Linked DNA regions of Caenorhabditis elegans. The protein of the gene in region 2 interacts with the protein of the main gene of each other region in a pairwise test. Each region holds a gene or a part of one and is shown on either strand. Other genes may lie near its edges. The genes, in order: hlh-27, nhr-43 and nhr-273.

The links.
Region 1: the proteins of nhr-43 (region 2) and hlh-27 interact in a two-hybrid assay, tested with the Caenorhabditis elegans proteins (one large-scale study listed by BioGRID).
Region 3: the proteins of nhr-43 (region 2) and nhr-273 interact in a two-hybrid assay, tested with the Caenorhabditis elegans proteins (one large-scale study listed by BioGRID).

The regions. Positions count from the first base shown.
Region 1 is NC_003280.10:5,538,371-5,542,346, forward strand, and holds hlh-27 (BHLH domain-containing protein), read right to left. Parts: upstream 1,844-3,976; 5' UTR 1,840-1,843; coding exon 1,682-1,839; intron 1,626-1,681; coding exon 1,395-1,625; intron 1,348-1,394; coding exon 930-1,347; 3' UTR 705-929; downstream 1-704. Other genes in the region: C17C3.11 (Protein kinase domain-containing protein), read left to right, coding at 1-40; C17C3.24 (uncharacterized protein), read right to left, coding at 2,634-2,717, 3,143-3,205.
Region 2 is NC_003282.8:11,897,467-11,903,489, reverse strand, and holds nhr-43 (Nuclear hormone receptor family member nhr-43), read right to left. Parts: upstream 3,831-6,023; 5' UTR 3,762-3,830; coding exon 3,703-3,761; intron 3,168-3,702; coding exon 3,038-3,167; intron 2,590-3,037; coding exon 2,496-2,589; intron 2,428-2,495; coding exon 2,356-2,427; intron 2,248-2,355; exon of another isoform or gene 2,117-2,247; intron 1,975-2,116; coding exon 1,725-1,974; intron 1,674-1,724; coding exon 1,269-1,673; intron 1,221-1,268; coding exon 953-1,220; intron 903-952; coding exon 831-902; 3' UTR 580-830; downstream 1-579. UniProt on the Caenorhabditis elegans protein: Ligand-activated transcription factor. Positively modulates expression of homeobox protein lin-39, perhaps by binding to the sequence motif 5'-TGAC-3' in regulatory regions of the lin-39 gene, acting in the embryo, and also in the vulval lineage.
Region 3 is NC_003280.10:4,433,442-4,437,632, forward strand, and holds nhr-273 (Nuclear Hormone Receptor family), read left to right. Parts: upstream 1-1,858; 5' UTR 1,859-1,937; coding exon 1,938-2,029; intron 2,030-2,073; coding exon 2,074-2,159; intron 2,160-2,397; coding exon 2,398-2,795; intron 2,796-2,840; coding exon 2,841-3,025; intron 3,026-3,120; coding exon 3,121-3,496; 3' UTR 3,497-3,557; downstream 3,558-4,191. Other genes in the region: nhr-109 (NR LBD domain-containing protein), read left to right, coding at 1-53, 94-179, 412-779, 1,098-1,282, 1,334-1,706.

The DNA.
Region 1 (3,976 bases), on a different chromosome or scaffold from region 2:
GAGCAAGCCAAGGCGAGCTTCGCAACATTTTTGTTCTTAGATTCGGATGTTGCCGAAAGTATGTAGATCGCGAAAATTTGATGCTCGAGCCAAGAAAAACTGTGCCATTTCGTGGAAGCCCTCGATATGCACCGCTTGCATCACATAATACGGCGGAACATGGACTGAAGGACGATTTGGAAAGCTGGCTAGTTTAATCAATTTAAGAACTAGTCATTTATGTGATATATTCTGTAAAGATGCCAGAAGGCCAGATTGGGTTATCACTTAGAATTGAAAATAAGAATAATAGTTTTTATTTGAGAAAATGTGTTTTTCTAGGTTCTACATGCTCGTCGATTTCACCAATGCAGCTCTTCCCTGGAAAAATGTAAATGAGATTGGCGAGATTGGTGCGATGAAGAAGAATTCCCGCTTCCAACCGATCATGGGCCAATTCCTTGCTGGCTGCCCAGATGAATTTCGCTTGATTATGAAGTGAGTCTCTACCAAAGCTGATTTATTCGTAATTTTCCATTTCCAGCTATATCGACAGTCTTTCGTTCTTCAAGGAGCCCGATTATGAGATGATCTATACAACACTGCAAAAAGTGATGCTAGACAAGGACATTGAAGAGTTTCCGTATGACTGGGAGATGGAATTTGGTGTGGACTAATGGAACTTTGATTATACATACTTGTCTTGCTTGTATTCTGGCTAACAAATTTTACCGAATAAACATTCATTTTCAAACAGAATAATTTAGACAAGACTATCACGTGAGTAGTAAAAAATCTTCAAAAATAGATTGCGACGCGATGGGATGAAAAAGTTCGGGAATATTGGCCATAGAAAGATAAAAAAATGAATCAAAAACGCAATATAGACAATGAAGATTTTCGAAAAATTGCTCAGAAACTAATTGTAAGATCTGGAAGAACTTGATAGACTAGTTACTAATATCGACGGTTTCTTCATTTTCTTCCTCGTCACTAGTTTCTGGTGTTAAGATTTGAAGTGATGGAAGAATGAATCGGAGGGGAGCAGAAAATATTGATGGAACGGTGTTGTAGTTTGACAAGACATTGAACTGAGTAGTTGGGATCATTGGAATACATGGAAATGTGAGCAATGGAGAAGTAGATGTTGGGGATTCTTGAACTTCTTGAAACGTCAATCTTGGGAAGAGATCCTTCACTTCCATTCGTGTTTTTGGCTTTTCATTCTCTTTGTTCTCACAAGTAGCAGTTGATTTTCCAGCTAAAAGAGGAAGTATTTGGGGAATTGTTTCTGGATACAGAAGATCGGAATTGTGTTTAATGTAATCAATGATGATTTCTAGAATTGTGATCCGTTCAAGTTTTAATCTGAAAATAATTTTTTGAATTTTTATTAGCCATAATGAAACTCTTACCGTTGCTCGTAACTTCCCATTTGTTTGTTCAAAATGAAGAATTTCAATTCAGCATAACAGTCATCTTGTTTCTTTCTTCGAATCTTTTCACGTTCAGTCTTCACTTTTCTTCTTTCGGATTCAGTATCAAACTTCCGTCTTGTAGATTCGGAGAGGTCATTCGATGAGAAATTAGATTCCAGATTAACTCCAGTCACAAGTTTCACAATTCGGAAGAGAACTACTTCTTGTCTAAAAAATGAATTAGTTTAATAACTATTTTAAGCTAACAGAGTATTTAAACTTACGATATATGTTCTTCTTCTGATTTTTGAACAATCGTCTTGCATTCGTTAATCAACTCGTTTGTAATATTTCTTCTTTTCCGTTCAGATCCTGATTTTGGAGTTTGATTGTATGGGACGGAACGATAATCGCTCATTGAAGATGGGATAACTTTTGGCATCTGAAATTTGATAAGTTTTAATCTTTTTAAAATCAAGAAGAAATCTAGAATTTATAAAATTTCAAGATGAGCCGTTAAATAAAAGGAATAATTGTGACAAAACAGAAAAATGAGACCAAGAAAGCAGCACAAATTGATTTAGTTTAGTGAGATAACTCGTGCTGTTTTTCTAGAAGTATACAGTTCACTGAATGCTTTAAAAGTAATTGATCAAAATCAGTACACTTTCCTGATGTTACAATTATCAAAAAGTATACTAAACCAGCAGACCAGTGATCCACCAAGAAAGTAAATGAACAATGAATAAATGGTTACCTTTTATAGTTCCATTATTGTTCAGAGGGTGGAGCTTTGTATCAAGCGTTTGGAGCCATGGGAATTATTCTGAAATCTCTATTTTTACAGTCCCCATCATGGGTTCCCATGGTTCATCAGTGAGGTTCTCATGAGAACGAGGCTGGACATCTCCAGTTTTGTCTTGGGACCATGCGAAACTAGACGACTGGATATCGATTGGGTACTGCCTGGGAAATTCCGGCTGAGACTGTGAATTAGGATATTGGCACTGTGTTAATTTATTCTATAAGTTTATAGTAGTATCAACTGTACCGGATGAACAACATTTTAAACAGAAATATCTCGAAAAGAAATAAAATAGGAGAAAACAACTGAAATTATTTTGCCAGTAATTCTAAACAAGATTGATTTGCAACAGTTTCTTCGAACATAATTTTTATATAAGAAGATATCTATTTTGAATTGACAGTGGTCAACAGAATAAATATGGAGAACAATCATATTGGAAGAGCTGGAATGCAAAAGTGAGAGGAAATTGATTTGAGCTCTTCGATTATGGACGCAAAAATGGCATGGCGTGACTGAAACGACATAAGTTTGAAAGTTGATAGGACGATTTATAATATAAATTGTGTTCCCTGTTTGCTCCAATGATATGAATTTCGGCAACAGTATCACTACAGTATCACGACAGTAGCCTTATAATAACCCGCCAATAAATTCATTTGATCTTCGCTCATGATCTCAGAAACGATTTTTAGTTTTATTACAATTATCATACAGTATCATGATAACAACGGAGATTGCCCGTGGAATAGTTCAGCTACTGGAATATTGGCTACAGTAATCCTATGGCAGTAGCTATGACCTTAAATATACTCACATCTGTCTCCCAAATTACAATTTTTTATTTTTTATTCTTTAATATATTAAGCCATAAATTTCATCGTACAACGACGGAAGACAATTTTTGGAAACTTGCCGAGTCAAAATTATCATGACTCACCTTGGAGATCGTGGAGGAAGCCAGATCATTTGTGGCAATCTCTTCCTGAAGGCGGGTTTCCATAATTCTCACAGATGTCTTGAAACGGTCCTAGGCATTCTAGAAATGTAATGTGATGACGAATAAATGTATATTTCTAACCTTCCGGATTATCTCCAAAAGAGCCTTTGCTCGGTTATATGTGGCACGGTCGACGCCATTGGCGGTCTGAATATAAAAGATGAGTTGAATTTCAGAACGAGATTGAAATACTCACCTTTTTCATTTCACTTCTTGCCTCTTTTTGAAGCTTTCTGCGGTCCATTTTGTAGCAGATGTGAAGGTAAGATCTGAAACTATGAGCAATAAATTAATAGCGAAGTCAAGTCAAGTGATTGAATGTAATTGGTGAGGAAATTAGTATTCAATTTCAATCAAAATCACTGAAACTGATATTTCCGTTTTCAGTGTTCCAAAGTGTACCAATTGCCAACTAAAAGGTTATGTGAACAAACTTTCAAATCAATAAGCCTCCTCAGCTTCAACAAAAAGGGACAAATTTTATCAAAAACTATTAATAACGAAAAATCCCTGACTCATGGTGCATGGCTCTTTCTCAATTCTGATTTTTTGTTGTCTCCCCCCGTTGCAACGATGATAATTTCTGTCTTATTTCTGTATACAGGGTTGCCTTTGGCCTGAATGTTTTTGTCCTTTGTTTTAGGGAAATGAGTTCTGAAACTTTTTTTGTTGGTAATACTTCCAATACTTTGTTAGGTTCAAAAAGTGGTTCTAAAAATTTTGTTTTACGCCATCCATTATTTTTAAAATAACCTGAACTCGTTTTGGTTACTC
Region 2 (6,023 bases):
CGCTTTAAGAAACGGGAAGAAGAAGCTAATCGCAATATGAAACGCGTTCATTCAGCTACTCCATGTTACGATCCTGGACAACTTAGAAATTCGTTTTGGAGAGATTGAGCGGAGATATAAATTTGGAGATATTTTGCAGAGTGGTGCAATACAATAAGGATAGATCTACAAGCAACTGTGAGCCGCGACGAAAGTTTGTTGTAATGATAACTACAGTAGGGCATACATCACTATTTTATAATAGGCCGCCTGAGTTGTTTCCGCGCCTGCCTATCACATTGAAAGCAGGTAGGCCTACGTAAAAATATAGTATTTTATATTGAATGATAAGAGCGACAGTTTGCTATTGATGTTGATCCAAAGTTCACAGGTCATACAAGAATCAAAAATGTATTTCCAATTAATCAAATGAATCATAACAGGTGATTATTTCTTATCAATGTTCACAAAATTTTTTTCTTGTTTTGTTAAAAAGGCTTGTGATGCAAAAATGTACCGATCATCCACGTCATTCGGCAATGTTTCATCATTGTGTTCTACATTAAAAACCAGCCACTGATCTGCAGGATTAAACAACATCAAATTTCGTTGTTTATTATGAGGTAAGGAAATATAGTGAACAATACGGTACAATATTAAAGATCAGCTATGGCAATCAGAACGCGATCACAATTTTTTGATAGAGATAGTCATTTGGAAGGATGAAAATGTTCAAAAGCTTCGAGTTTAAACTGATAGTGAAAGCAAATTTGAGAATTTGAAAACTGAAGAAAGTATTTACAGGATATTAAAAGGGGATTCGGGAGGATAGAAACCTTAGGGAAACAAAATTAGATTGAGTACAAGTAGGCGTTGAGATCGGAAAATAGGATATTCTTGATGGTGGAGGACATATCGGCATTCTGAAAATTGTGAGCTTTAAAATCAAATATTCGAATTTAAATTTAATTACCTGAACTTCTGTATGAAGACACATCATTTCTCCCATTCTACTTGAATACTTGTCGATTTTCAAGCCATCACAATACAAATAATGTAGATCATCGAAAAGAGCATCACGAACTTGCTCGGCGCGATCTTCGGAAACACAGCCGCGATGATTGCGAGGAGCCCAGATGTTGAGAGCCAAAAGGGTAATGAATTCGAATTCTTTGATGATCAATTTGTGCATTGGCTCGAGAACCAAGTTTCTTGCTTTAGTTAGAAGATTCTCCAAACGACTGGAAAATGTTTAATTGGGAATATGAAACAAATTCAAAGAAACTTACGCTTCAACTGCTTGAATATCAGATTCATTCAATCCAGTGGTATTTCCAAGCCAGTATCTAACATTTTTCGAGTCGATGTAAGTAGTTTGAGTGCACATCATCAAAGTCTCGTATTCAGGTTGAACTGGCATATTACGGTAGGTCCAGTAGCAGGACTCGATTTCCCAGAGAACTGGATAAAACATAGCACAAATTCTCTTTTGCTCCTGGACATCACACTCGGCATATTCGTCGAAAGTGTTTTTGAGGAAAATATGGAGAAGCCCGAATTGTTTTTGGTAGATTTCTGAGATGATTTCACGAGTTGCTGGAACAATTGGAATGCCAGTTGATCCGAATACTTTGGAATCTTGTTGCATGTGCTTGAGAGAAAGCTCGACGTCTAGGCGGGATTTGGTGAATTCACTGAAAAAACGAAAATTATAAATTTGAATTGTGGAATTCCAATAAACTCACTTATAGTTGATAAGTACTTTGTTAATGAGAGATGCCCTTGTTGTGTAGATATTTGGATTTCCAATTGTTGGAATTGGGCGGTGCACAGAAAATGATATTTGTTGTTGGAATTGTTCAATTGGATGGGATACATCCATATCTTCACATGATTTACCCTCTGAGCCAGTATCCGATTCTTCATCTTCCTTTTTAACTGATTCGTCTCTTGATGTTGTCTTGACATGGTCGGGTGATCGTCGGCCAACTACTGCTGAAATATTTACAATTTCACATGTTATTCTCATGACCTCTATTACTATTACAACAACTTCCTCCCCCTTCGCTGGGTGGAAACTGTGACCAACAATCATATTTTGTCTGTTTCACTGATGCAACGATGAACATATTCGTTCTTCGGAAAGACCAGAATGATTGCGGGTAGCAGCATCACACATCCACTGATATTCTCTTTATGTGTCTATCTCTCGCGCTTGTTTTAATGAACTCATTCCGTGCTGGATTGTTTCTAGCGCGCAGCGAATCATGAATGTTAAAACCGATTTCCAGTTTGGATTGAATTGGCGTGATGTTAGATGCTGATTTGGAGACAATGCATATTTCAATTTAATCAACAATTTTTATATTTACTCACCATCAACATTAAGACCAACAAGAAGACACCTCATCCATCGGCACTTTTGGCATGTGGTTTTTCGAGACACTGCTAGAAAAATAATGGTTTGTCACTGATCTATATTTGCCAAGGAAAGGGGTTACTCTAGAAATACTCACTGTTAAGTTCACATTTGTTGGTTCCACGTCTACAGACGAATGTCTTCTTGACAGCTACACTTCGTCGGAAGAATGCGGCACATGCTCGGCAAATCTGAAAATCAATAGATGTTCATCTTGTCAAGCGAGAAGCAGGGAAAAGCTTCACAACGAAATATCTTTGGATAGGCTTGGAAAACCGGTATTCAGAGAAATCGGCTTGAAATCTCGAGCGAGAAATGAATTTGAACTGGATTGATCGAACTTTAAAATTAAGTTATTTTTAGGATTCACTTGATAAGGATATAGATAAGAAAAACGGCCATGACTATTTCTGGCAACCCCTCACATTTCCAAATTATCTTAAAATCTGTCTATAACTGTTTTATCTAAAGTTGATGACCTAGAAAACTTTGTGGCTATCACAAACAATCTAGGCATTACCCAATAACAAGTCTTTTTCGGAAAAGATGAATATCTGATGATCAGCACCAAATTTTCTCGACCCTCCGCTTAGGTTTTTCCTCTCTAACCTATTCTCCTCGTGTTCCTCACTAACTTACATCAATTCCGAAGTGCTGCGAACCGTCGTATCGTCTCTCGCAAACTCGGCAATGAATGTTCGATGGGTCGGCAACGGTCGGACTAGACGATGATGATGGAAGCGACAAAGGAGACGTCGCCGGGTGTCCGCTTAAAGATTTCAGATTACAACATTAATTGATTTTATGAAAAAAAAAAGGTCTTGGTCATTGTGGTGGATATCGCCTAGCCAGGAAGTTACACTTCAAATCAGTGGTGCGCGACAAATGCCGTTTGCCATTTCTTATCGTTTTTTTATAGAAATATACAGAATTATTTGTATTCTATGAAAACAACTTTACATTCAAGTAAAAGTTTCAAGAAGCTGTTTAAAAACTGCCTCAAATATCAATATGCTGATCGGCACATATCTTACGACTCTGAAGAAGTTTTCGAGCAACTTTTCAAAACTTTTTATTGAATTTTAAGTTATTTTCAAAAAGTACAGATATTTCTGTATTTTTAATATAAATTTCCAACAAAAACCGTTGCCACAACTATGAGAAAACGGGGATTTTGTAAATGTGCCGCACGTCACTGCTTCAAATGAATAAATGCAAAATGGTACTTGAAGCAATTTAAAAAATTTGATGAATTTTTATATTTGAAAATTTATTTGATATTTCATATTTTCAGGAGAACTTACATCATGACTGTCTGGAGTGGAACAGTTGGATCAAAGTGAAGAAATGGGCCGCTAATCATTACACAGGAAACAGGCGGGTGCACCGATTCAGAAGGAATGAAGAGGAGATATTGAGGAGAAGGAGTACTGTAATCTTTGGCTTGTAAGGAACAATGACGTCATCGATGGGTTTCGAGAACGCCGATCTCTGTATGATTCGGCGAGGAAGTGAGGAGAAATGAAGAGAGAGAGAGAGAGAGAGAGAGAGAGAGATGATACAGTGGAAACTATCTCATATCAGCACTTATCACCACAACTTGTGTGGTTTCGATGATCGGAAAAAGAAGAAAGGAGAAAAATAAATTTTATATCAAATTATGCAAGTTTGTACAAGCCTTGTGTGCCACCAACGTTGCAACTGACACTGGAGGCGGAATAAAAGGAGGCGGAGCGCGCGGTGGGTGGGATTATATCGGATGGAGAGGGCGGGAGACGGGGACAGAAGACGTCACAAGCATGGGAATCAAATATTTGTAGTGAGAAGTCAACACAATTTGAGATGCGGATCAAAATCTCTGCGCGCCTCGGCGCATCGAACAGTCGATTGCAGAAAAAAGAACGAAGTCTCTGGCCTTGCCACGTCATGTGATAGTAGTAGGAAAATAATAAGACTACGTACAGTTGCAATTTGACAGGCTGGAAGAATCAGTGTAATCATTAAGATGGATCTGGTGGTTAAAATAAATTACAAATAGAAAATAAAATCCCAAATGTTCTACTTTGAGTCTTTGACAACATATGTATACCTCGGTTTTCTTTGATTTTATCAAAATTTTGTCAACTGACAAATACGTGCAAAATATTTCTTGGGAAATTTATGAAAGTAAAAGTAGATTCTCAATGTTCTAGCACACTATACATACCACTTTTTGTGGACCCGATGAACAAAACTTGCAAATCGCCCAATTCCAATTGTCAATGAATATGTAGCCTCCTCAAACTGGGAGGTCTATGACTTATCATCAAAAAATTCCCGTTTTCACTTTCATATATAGGATCTCTGATAAAATTTCGTGATAAGAAAATAAATAAAAACTATCGTACTGATTGATGACCACGGACTACCTATTTTAATTGTTTCAGACTATATATACTTTACTATTCTACAATTAGTAATATTCAGTGAAAGACTATTTTTTAAATTGATTATAACTGTAAGACTATTGCTTTTTTACAAGTAAATTTGAATTTTTAAGTAGAAATAATATCAAAACTGCACATCTTGCTCACAAGTACTTTACTTTGAGAGCATATATTTCAGTTAATTTCAAAGATACCAGAAATTAGTTAACTACAAACGTATCGAAAAATAAATGAAAAATATTTTGCTAGTTGACAACTTTTTGATAAAACAAACTACAATTGAGATATACGCTGACGAAGCTAGGCAGTTTTGTGACAGGCTAAAAGGGGGCAAAATGTACTGAATAATGCAAACAATGTTGTAAAATGCGAAAGTTTGGTTATGAATTTTTTAAATGTTCGAATTTTTCCGGTGGGCGTGCAATTGCCGAATCCCAAAATGCCGAAAATGCCGGAATTATCGAAAATCGATCTCCCGTTAAATTGTAGACTTTGATTTTTTTGAAGGGAGTCAGAGTGTTTTGGGAAAAAACTAGGTTTATTAAAAATGCGTCGTTTTAGAATTATATTATAGATGAAAAAATAAACAAAAAAAATCAAAAAAATTCCTGGCACATTTTGAACTTCTCTACAGTTTGCACTATAAAACAGTTTAACCCCGTCAATTGTATCGGGCACAAATCAGAACAATTCAATGATAGTGAACAACGAGAGACAATGCATCATTTAATGATTTGTTTCATAGAACATTTCATTCCAGTTTTCGCTCATGTTACCCACTTTTTATCATGTGGTAGTCTCATGAACAAGGGTAGACATGGGTTACGGTGTGAGGAACTACAGTATTGGATAATGATGTCAGTATGTTAAAGGAGGAAAACAAAAACAAAAGTAGTTTTCTTTACTTAAAAATTATGATTCATTCTTAGAAGCATAACCAGTAGCGAGGAGAGGCTTTGCAGAACAAGAAAACTCTTTTTTTTCCTGTTGAAAAACAAACACGGATTACGGTAGATTTAATGAGTCTGTTGCTATCAAAGACGTGGATGATTTATCAATCATCAGAAACAAAACGAAGTTGTTTTATATAGATGAATGAGAAATAACGTTGTTTCGGTGAACTATAGAGAATACACCGAGAGACGTAGCAATCTATTGGAAGACCAGAATGATAGTTAAATATGCACGTGAAAACAACA
Region 3 (4,191 bases), on a different chromosome or scaffold from region 2:
TCGATTTGTCAAGAATCTGGAGATGGTTTTCACTTTGGAGCAGAAGCTTGCAGGTAAAATTTAAATTGTATACAAGACATCGCACAATTTCAGAGCATGTGCTGCATTCTTCCGGAGAAGTATTTCAGAAAATAAATTATATACATGTAGCGGAAATAACGATTGTGATGTTACTGTTAGTGAGTAAAAATTAATTGACCTGTTTTGAGCCAAAATTTTGGACTATGTTATAAACTCAAAGGCATTCTGTAAAAAAAAACTTCAAAAAAATAAAACATTTTCACTAAGGTCGGGCTTACAAGCCTACATAAGGCTCAGTCTAAGCCTCTAAGCCTAGGCCTAAGCCAGGCAGACAGGCAAGTCGGCTTGTTCTCTAAGCCCAATTGAAATTATCTATCTTGATTTGTTTAGACATCAGATGCATGTGCCGGGCATGTCGACTTACCAAATGTATCGAAGTTGGAATGAACCCTGTAGGAGTTCGGCAGAAGCCTGGTAGTTTCCGGAAATCAAAGGAACTCATCTCTCCCAGTTCATCAAATCATGACGAGTTCAGTCGAATGCCAATACTTTCAAAAATGAAATTGAACTATGAAAATATGAGAAATGCCAGGAAAGCATTGCACAATGAAGTTGGAGAAAATGTATTTGAGGAGAAGATTCCAAAAGAAATAAATTATAAAGAATCAGTTCAGCAGGGAATGAAGGATTATACGCTGATGCCTGAATGGGTGTCCTCTTGTTTTGATGAGTTTCGAACGTTATCCGCTGATCAGAAAGTGAGTCGGAAAACTTAAATGGCTATTTTAACACATCAAATGTTTCCCTATACCTTGAGGCAAAAGGTAGCCATGTAGGTAGGCGAAAGGTGCGTAGGTAGGCCCTCAGAAATGTGGCAGACATGTAGGTAGGACATTTGCTAAGGCATGCAGCAGATCTAAATATAGCGGTGCCTTACAGCCGTACCTACCTGCTTGTCTACCTATTTCATATGCCTACGTAAAATGTCAAAACATTTTTGAGCAAATTGAACAATAATGAGGCTAAAACTAGACATGTTAAAAATACTTCTATTTTTGAATTTTCCTTTTTTGCAGAATATCTTGTTCCGCAACTCCTACATTCCATTTTTCATGATGGAAACTGCATTTTTAAGTCATATCAACAATATGCCGGACTCTGTCATTTTCCCATCTGGAGACTATTGTGACATGAAAAACTTGGAGCGATACTATAATTCTACAAATTTTGAAAAAAAAATCAGCACGGAAGATATTGAAAAGTATTAGAAAAGAGATGGTTAAACTTAACGTTTTTTTTTTCAAATTTTCAGCTTGTTCAAGCCGTTCTACGACAATTACAAGAGATCTTTGCTCCTCCCAATGATGAATCTTCAAGTTGACATCTATGAATTTCTCACACTTTTTACACTTCTCCACTGGGATACTGGCCTTGTTGAGATCACCGATGAATGTCTGGAAATTGGCACAAAAGTCAAAGCAGAAGTATTCAAGGAGCTGGATTTCTATTTGACAAATGTGAAGAAAGTCGCAGAGCCATCAGTTAGAATAGGGACAATTGTCAACTTACTTCCAGCAGTTCATAAAAGCGTACGGAGAATACAGGATGACATGGAGATGACTAAAGTCTTTAATATTTTTTCGGCGCCCAATGAGTTTTTTGATCTTGTTACTGGCAATTTCTGAGAATAAAAGAAACAAAATTCTTGTTTTATTTGTTTTACTAATTCAACTTACAAAGGAATACGTTTCAAATGAATGCAATATTGCCTCGTAATTTTTTTCTTTTCCGCCTCTCACTATTTATCAACAGAAAACCATATTTTATCTTTCTATCTCCATTATCAATCATTATTCTGCACTTTGTGTGTTCATAAACTATTGATTAATTTAAAAGAAAAAAATTAAATTGCTAGAATGGGACCACGACAAAAAGATAAGGATCAATCGAAATGCTCAATTTGCCGAGAACCTGGAGATGGGTTCCACTTTGGAGCAGAAGCTTGCAGGTACTTATTTATTTATAGGTCAGACTTTAAAACCTAGATTTCAGAGCTTGCGCAGCATTTTTCCGTCGAAGTGTGTCCCAGAGTAAAACATATTTGTGTCAAGGGAATAACGATTGCGATGTTACTGTTAGTGAGTATTTTTAAACTTCTGTAAATATTAACATTTAATTTTTAAAGTACAAAAAATAACATATTAATCAATTCCTTACACAGGCATGTTGTACCTTTGTAAAAGCAAAAGAAAATGTAACATATTTTTTGGGAAAAAAGGGACCGCCTGAAAAAAATCACGGTCGTTTTTTTGAAGTTGTTTGGACCAAACTTTGGATTAGTTTAATTATTAAAAATTTAATATAAATAAAATTCAGATATTCGATGTATGTGCCGTGCGTGCCGTTATGTCAAATGCATTGAGGTTGGAATGAATCCTGTCGGAGTTCAACAGAAACCAAGACTACCCAAAAACCGCAAAGAAGTTTCAATTGATTTACTCTCGAGCCCCCGAACGTCCAACTCATTGATGCTCGAACTACCACTTACGGGTCAAATGCCAATTCTCTCAAAAATCCGAGCAAGTTACCAAACAATGTGCAATGCTCGGATAGCGCTTCACAAGGCTGAAGATAAAACTGTATTTGAAAAGAGAACTCCAAAGGCAGTAAATTACAAAGAAGCGGTGAAGCAGGGTATGAAGGATGTCACGTTGGCTTCTGATTGGGTCTCATGGAGCTTTGATGAATTTTCCAACTTGCCGATTGATCAGAAGGTAGGTTTTTAGGTTTTAGCAGTTAAAGTGGATTGTTTTTTTCAGAGAATTTTGTTCCACAACTCGTACACCGCATTTTTCATTATGGAAAGTGGATTTTCGAGTCATTTGAACAATACACCGGATGCAATAACATTCCCATCTGGGGACTATATTGACACAAATGATTTGAATTCATTTTACAATGGTACAGATTCTGATAAGCAAATTTCCAGTGAAGATATTAATAGGTGAGTAGGAAAAAACTCGATCTGGAATATGTCGTTAGAATATTCCAACTATTCCTGAAAAAATCAGTTATGTACAACAAATCTAAAAAATTTAGACTCTTCAAGCCATCCTATGAGCGCTTCAAAAAGTCAGTGATCTTGCCAATGATGACTCTTCAAATGGATATAATAGAATATCTTGCTCTCTTCACAATGTTACTTTGGGATACTGGACTTATCGAATTGAGCGATGAATGCATTAAAATTGGCGATAAGATCAAAACTCAAGTATTGAAAGAACTCGATTTTTATATGAGGAATGTAAAAAAAGTCGAAGAGCCTCTTGTGAGAATTGGAACTCTTGTGAATATTCTACCAGATGTGCATAAAAGTGTTCGTAGGATACAGGATGATTTGGAAATGACAAAAGTTTTCAACTTGTATGCGCCGTCCGATGAATTTTATGATCTCGTGATGGGAAATTATAATTGATATCATATTTTAAGTTTTAACTAATTTTTACTCATTTTACGATAAATGTATAATATATTGACAATCTGCTTAAAAGACGGCCTACGCCTACCTGAAGGAGTGCCTAAAGCCAAAATAGACGTGAAAATTTGTTTCAACTCACTTTAGTGTACTTTGCTTCTGAGTACAGAAAATAGATGGTAGGTAGGTAGAAGGTAGGCATATATATAGTCAGATTTTACCAATTCTCCATTGACATTGAATGTATTTAAATCGAGCTGAAAATCGAAAATTTGAAAAAATTCTCTGAAAAAATGAGAGTATAGGGAAAGATGTTCAGTGGACCAAATAACCGCTTAAACTCGCTAAACTGAGTATCTTCAAACTGGCGTATCTCAAAAAAAAGAAATATTTTTTATTTTTATTACATTAATTATTATTTGAATACACCAACTATTTGTTGAGTTACACAGAGTCAAAGCCATTTTTCCAAAATTCACAAAAAATTTTGAGAACTCTTTTATTGTATCCTTTATAACTCAACATTCATTGAATTTCAAAAGATAAATTTTGTTAAATAGTAAATGAAAAATATTTTTCCACATTTTATCAGTTTTGTTTTTTGATATTTTTATGTATTGTCAAGTTACAGACCGTTTTTCAAAAAAATCAAATTTCCGCCATAAAACTCTTCATATACAACGTATCGGCTTGAA